Drosophila melanogaster: one gene and its partner. The protein of the gene in region 1 interacts with the protein of each later gene in a pairwise test. Each region holds a gene or a part of one and is shown in the gene's direction. Other genes may lie near its edges. The genes, in order: CG15908 and Icmt.

Evidence for each region.
Region 2: the proteins of CG15908 (region 1) and Icmt interact in a two-hybrid assay, tested with the Drosophila melanogaster proteins (one large-scale study listed by BioGRID).

What each region holds. Positions count from the first base shown.
Region 1 is NT_033778.4:6,666,303-6,669,382, forward strand, and holds CG15908 (uncharacterized protein), read left to right. Parts: upstream 1-1,847; 5' UTR 1,848-1,882; coding exon 1,883-1,954; intron 1,955-2,006; coding exon 2,007-2,405; 3' UTR 2,406-2,436; downstream 2,437-3,080. Other genes in the region: Adf1 (Adh transcription factor 1), read left to right, coding at 418-711, 771-1,075; CG9410 (uncharacterized protein), read left to right, coding at 2,858-3,080.
Region 2 is NT_037436.4:13,016,605-13,020,488, forward strand, and holds Icmt (isoprenylcysteine carboxyl methyltransferase), read left to right. Parts: upstream 1-1,661; 5' UTR 1,662-1,776; coding exon 1,777-2,016; exon of another isoform or gene 2,017-2,083; coding exon 2,084-2,455; exon of another isoform or gene 2,456-2,506; intron 2,507-2,583; coding exon 2,584-2,871; 3' UTR 2,872-3,083; downstream 3,084-3,884. Other genes in the region: CG11267 (uncharacterized protein), read left to right, coding at 1-129; mRpL20 (mitochondrial ribosomal protein L20), read right to left, coding at 589-745, 800-1,008, 1,072-1,158; Adk2 (adenosine kinase 2), read right to left, coding at 3,686-3,884.

The sequences.
Region 1 (3,080 bases):
GTTGCTAGAGTAAACAATCTATATTGAGTCAGCCAGCTCATCCGTTTAGCCGATGTAAAATATTGTTTAAGTTAGCTGATGGACTTTTGGAAACATGTGATACATATTTTCGGCTTACTAAAAACATTTTTTTTATTATTTTTTAAGTGAGTCATTAGAAAGGCAGTCAGTAATTTCTCAAAAAAATGTGACGCAAATTTCAGACGAAATATGAGCTTATGCGACCTTTTTAAAATCTACCAACCAAGCAATAAAATAGTAGATTGAGTTTTCAGAACTTAAGGCTTCTTTATTTTGGATCATACATATATTAAATGTGGGTTAATAGACAATGCATACATAAAGGCAACATTAGTTTAATAACTATTAAATATGGACATTTAATAATCATAAACCAACAACTCTTTTTCATTTTAGAACAAAAATGTACGAAGCGCTGGAAGAGTCTGCGCGACAAGTTCGCCCGCGAGATGAAACTATGTCAGGAATCGCGCTGGCGTTACTTCAAGCAGATGCAATTCCTGGTTGACTCCATCCGCCAGTATCGAGAGTCGCTGCTCGGCAAGTGCGCCAATGGGAGTCAAAGCGCCAACCAGGTGGCCGATCCGTCGCAGCAGCAGCAGGCGCAGCAACAGACCGTCGTGGATATATTTGCACAGCCCTTCAACGGCAGCGCCACAACCTCGGCCCAGGCACTGACCCATCCGCATGGTAGGTGAACCAGCATTTCAGCACCAGAGATCCCTGCTAAATACTTCGGTCTCTTGCAGAAATTACTGTCACCAGCGATGCACAGCTGGCCACTGCCGTGGGCAAGGACCAAAAGCCATACTTCTACGAGCCGCCGCTCAAGCGAGAGCGCAGTGAGGAGGAGCACAGCGACAACATGCTCAACACCATCAAGATTTTCCAAAACAACGTCTCGCAGGCGGTCAGCGCCGAGGACCAGTCGTTCGGCATGGTAGTCACGGACATGCTCAACACGCTGGGCGTGCGACAAAAGGCAGAGGCGAAGGTGCACATCATCAAGTATCTGACGGACATGCAGCTTCTGGCACAGCACAACAAGTACTAACTGTCGGGCGGCTGTCATCGGCAGCTGCTGCAGCTGCTCCAACTGGAGAGCGTTCTGCCCTGAGATCAAACGAGAACAGACCCACGGCTACCCACATCCACATCTACACGGGTTTGGGGGTCCTGTGCGGTCATTTTCTACAGTTCATAGGTCTTAAAGTCAAACTACAGAATAACATTAGACGTAACATCCCACAGCGTAAACCATAACGCGTAATGATACTTCCCCACGCCCATGTAGACAAACATATATATTTATATGCTTAGTTGACCCCATGATCGGTGATTTAATTCGCGCCCAGTTCTCAGCTCTGTACAAAAAATGCGATTGAAAATAGCGATTCTAGAATTATGAGTAGCTTGTTAAAAGACCGTGGAAACACTTTATATGCAGCGTATTGTAAATTTTGACTACGATTTAGTTGTAATTTGCCATCGGGTCTTAGCTCTAAAACTAAGTATACACGTAAAAGTTATTTTAATTTTATAAGTTCTGTTGTAATATGCCGAAAACGCTTGAAAGACACTTTGAAATGCTTAATTAAGTGTGACAAAGGGAAACATAAAACACCTTTTTCATAGTGATCGCATATTACACACTTTACATGGATACGAGTAAAATCGAAATAGTTGCCGGCAACGCCAGTTGCTAAACATTTTTAATGATTAATTGTGCAATTATTTGGTATTAAATGAAACATTTGAAAGTAACCGACTAGTTTCAATCGGGGTGATATGGCAACGCCGCGAGCCAGCGGCATAAACAAAATCAGCTGTGCGGGCTAATGATTGATTTTATGTAATTGAAATGGCCACAAAATCGGATAATGCTGACTCAAAATCGGACAAATCAAAGGAATCACTAGATGACGCATGGGCAGTAAGTATCCAGCTACGTTAACAGATCCGAGACTCAGGAATCCCCTTTACAGATCCGACCCTGTCATCTGTACAAGGAGGAGTACGACGACTGCACGAGTTTTAAGGCGCGCTTCCACCAGTACTTTATATTTGGCAAGGACACAGATTGCTCCCAATGGCTAACTGATTACCGTAACTGCGAACGATATCAGCAGTCCAACGGGAACGATGTGGCTGCCGGCAAAGCGGTGATTAAAAGCGAGGAGGAGCGCCGAAGGATCCGCCTGCGCGCCCACTTTGCCAACGACACTTGGCAGAAGCGTAAGAAGCCACCGCTGGATTGGGCTGCTCCTCTGCCGGACTGGATGGAGAAGCGAAACGAGAATACCTATCTTGAGCTTAAGCAAAAAGAGCTCTCTGGACAGGCGGCGCCGCAAGGAGAGGAACGCTCGCTGTGCACGATCATGTGAAGATAAATAGTAAATTATTAGTTAAGAAAAGAAGGAAGTTGTTTCATTGTTCTTAAAAGATTTCAGTTTTTCAGCAATGGTTTCTAATAATCGGCGGTCTGGCAACGCTCGTGTCAGCTGTATTTGTTTCTGATAGTGCTGCTACATTTATTAACATTTATTACATTTATTATTATTATTGCTTTCATTAAACACGTAAAGACACATTTTTCTTATAAAACTCATTTGCTTTCAAAGTCTAGGTGTTTGTATTACGAATCAAACAAGTTGTGTAAAATCTAATAAACGTTAGCAGTGGTAATCGGTCTAAGAACAGTAATGCTGAGAATAGGTAATCTAGCTAAAAAATAGCTGTATTGACGACACATTTTGTGCGATACTTCAGATACGGGCTGATATCTACCTACATACCTATTCCGCATCCGCATCCCAACGCTCCAGCTTTGCCTAAAATGCTAAAGGGTAGCACACTGAAAGCCCTGGACGTCAGAATCCTATGGCCCCTTATTGAAACAAGGTCAGCAGGTAAATGTAAATTACATAACCCGAGGCCGACTCCAAACCGTAACATTGCGGCAGCAAAATTGATCGTGACACTCAGATTGCTCTTATCCTGTTGCAGTGGAGGACACCAGCGCAGCTTCTCCAGCAGCACCCACCGGTCCTACATAACAT
Region 2 (3,884 bases), on another chromosome or scaffold:
CCCATTGGCGTGAAGGAGGGCGATCGTGTTCTGCTGCCCGAATTCGGTGGCACCAAGGTGAACCTAGAGGGTGACCAGAAGGAGCTGTTCCTCTTCCGCGAGTCCGACATCCTGGCCAAATTGGAGTAGATCTCGCCTCCGGACACTGTCTCACAATTCTATGAATTCTATGCTTTTTATTAGTATGTAACACACCCACAAACCCGAAACTAAAAACTACAATAAAAGCTCATGCAATATTTTTGTTTGCATTGCGCATGGACCGTCATTGAATAAATTTCGAGTTACTTGTTAAAACTAGCAGCACAGGTGTTTTGTCATTAATCACATTTGTCATTTTACTCGAAAAAATATTGGATTCATTCGCGGAAAAGGTAGTTGCAGTAAATAAATTAATGATTTAGTATCAAATTTCATTCAGCAAGCAGAAGTTACGAATTATGTAACTAAATGTAAATACGAATTCGGAGTTAAAAACTAATCTAAAGAACAAATCCCAAACGATTTTACTCCCTTCAAAGTGAAAATTAAAGATTACACGTTTAAAACATACAAATATCTATATTTGAACTCCTACTTAAGGCTATGTTAATCCAACTTCAGGTTGCTCAGTCCATAGACCTGGTTAAATGCCGATCTCCGTTTGATGTCTGGCATTCCCTCCACAGCTGCCCGCTCTCGAGAGATCTTTACTAGAGCTTCAAAAGATCGCGGCTCCCAAATGGCGAGGTCGGATAGGACTTTTCTGAAAGATGTTATAGGTTGTTAAAGGATATGGGAATTTTCCGGTGGTACCCACTTGTTGAGCAGAATATCGGAGCGCGCGAGGCCCTCTTTGAAGGTTTCCAGACCTACTCCATACTGCTGACAACCCGCCTCCACGCGTGTGCTCCACAGTTGCGCCATGTCCAGTTTCTTTAGCTTTCGCCCCTTGGTGGCATAGGCCAGTGCCCTATGGACACTCCGGATGGCGAAGGAGTAGACATTGCGAGTGCGGCTTCTATAATGCTGCAGAAATTAAGCACTAAGAGCTCATTATTTTTATTGTGGCCACGATATTCGGAAACATACCGCTGCCAGCTTGAAGATGCGTCTCTTCCGCCAGAATTCGTCCGGACCACGGGACCGTACCAGCAAGGGAAGGTTCAGGAAGACCATGGCTTGATATTAACAGAATATCGGTCGAGTTTTTATATATTTTTAATTGATCTCAACGACTCTACTTGTTATTTTACATAACCTGCACGGCGCTAAAATGAGCATGTTATCGATAAAATATCGATGCAAGGCGTGCAGTTAAGAAATTTATTTAAAAAGGTATAGGTGAATACCTACAAATGTAATTCATTTAAGTTACTATTAAATTTTTTCTGACTATATAAAATTAAATTAAATCCTCAGAACTCGATATGTCGATATGTAACAGTGCATAACTATCGCTTATTGTTACAGGGGGTATAGGCTAAAGAGAATTGCCCGCATAATTTATTTTTAAAACCATTTTCTGCTAAACGTGGTGTTAAATATTTATTTATTTAATTTAATTTATGATTTATGATTTATTTTATTAAAAGCTGTAAGAATTATATTACTGATTTCTATGATAATCACGAGCCTATACTTTAGCGGTTATTCACTGTGCTGCCTATCGTTATCGAAAGCTTTGCCGGTTTATTTACATTTTGGCGCATTAAACCAAGCAAATGTTTTAAAAAACCTCAATTTCCGTGTTTTTGCGCACAGCAGCAGCACAAAAAGAATCCCGATTCCCCAGTTATGTGTGCAAAGAGCCGAGTGGCTTCTCCTGGGGCCGGTGGCACCAGCCTGTGTTCCGAAGGCCGCATCAGTTTATATTGCTTTCTGATTACTGCAGCTCTAGTCCTGATTCCCTCGGTGCCCCAGAATCTTTATGGAGTGGTGCCACAGGTGTGGGGCGCCGTCCTCTGGGGTCCATTTTTGTACTACGCCCTTATTAACATGATCATACGGTTTGTGCTGCGGAACCACGACTACCAGGTGAGTCAATCGATGAGACGCGATAAACCTTATCAGTGCTATGGCGCTAACTATTCTTGCACCACAGGTGGCCATTAGGGCATCCTTCCTGGGCTTTGCCATGGCCGTGAGTGTGCTGGTCATCTGCTTTGCTCCCACCGAGTGGCAGCAATTTGGCGCCTACGGATGCTTCATGTCCCTTTTCCACTACTCGGAGTTCCTCGTTATCGCCTTTGCCAATCCGCGCACTCTCAGTCTCGACTCCTTTATGCTGAACCACTCTGTGCACTATGGACTGGCGGCGGCAGCCAGTTGGATCGAGTTCTCACTAGAGGTGTACTACCTGCCGCAGTTCAAGAGATACGGATACATTTGGGTGGCGGGCGTGGTCCTGTGCCTGCTGGGCGAGATGGTTCGCAAGGCAGCCATCATCACAGCTGGCCGGAGCTTCACTCACTTGGTTAGTCGTGATGATTTGTTAATACATGGACATATAAATATTATTGCACTTAAGGAATTATCACACTATTATTAATTAAAACTAACTAAATAGCTTGTAAACTTCTCATCACACATCTATTCCTACAGGTCCAGAATGAGAAACACTCGGAACACAAGCTAATAACAAGCGGGATCTACGCCTACTGCCGCCACCCGTCTTATGTCGGCTGGTTCTGGTGGTCCATCGGAACCCAGATCGTGCTATTGAATCCCATCTGCATATGCATTTACACACTGGTCAGCTGGCTGTTCTTCCACGATCGCATCTACGTCGAGGAGTACTCCCTGCTCAACTTCTTCCAGTCGGACTATGTGCGCTATCAAAAGCGGGTGCCAACGGGCCTGCCCTTCATCCGGGGCTATCTGGTCGATTAGTGCCTCTGATCTGGGGTTCAATGTCACAAGTCGCCATGGCAAACAAAACAAAATTCTATTTTAGGTTTAGGTATACAAGGTATACAGCAGTTCTCTTTTGTATAGCAAAAAAAAAAGATTTACAAGCACATTGTTTTTTCCAAATAAGTTTTCTAATATTTAGCATGTTGTTTTGTATTCATAAACTAGTCAAAGCATGTTGCTGAACTGATAATCTAATCTTCTTTTTTGGGTTAATTGTGAATTTATGGGCCGCATTAGCAAGCAAATGAAACAGCTGCGTGTTTCACAAGTTTTATTTAATGTTTAACTCGTCTATCTATCGTTGTTGATAATCTTATCTGCTGATGACTCCTCGTTGTAACTTTGGACATTGTAGTCGTATGCATTATTCTCCCGATTGGTATCTTATACCATAAATGGATAAGAAACCCAATAAATAAAAGGATGAGGAAATAAACCTCCTTTCACCTCTTATCTGAAAATCAATACAAAGATTTCAAGTTGTACAAAATGTTGACTTTTGTGTCTCGCTCGCGTGTCACTTTTGTTTTATTATCAATTTAAATTCGAATATTGCTCTATCTATAAGACACAAGCCTCACTCTCTCTATTTGTTCATGTCATTTCACATGTGTATGCTTTTGTATGTGTCTGAGTGTGGGTTATATGTATGTACAAACAATTATCAGTGTTAACAAAATCTTTTAGTCACTCTCATTTACTTAATTAACAATTGCAAATCTTGCTGCGCTTTGTCTGGCTCCTTCGATGTCCGATGTGTGTAAGGTTTCTGTAGCTTCCGCATCCGGTTTTACTCAACGAACTCCGGTTCGCCGGAGTATGTGCAACCTGGATTCTTGATAATGTGCCCGGCTGCATAGTTTCCGCACCTGATGCAGACATCCAGCGACTTGCCCTGCACAAACTGCGATAGGAAACCTCCAACGAATGCATCCCCAGCGCCATTGGTATCGACAATTTCATGCACCGCCAATTTCGTGACCGGGAAT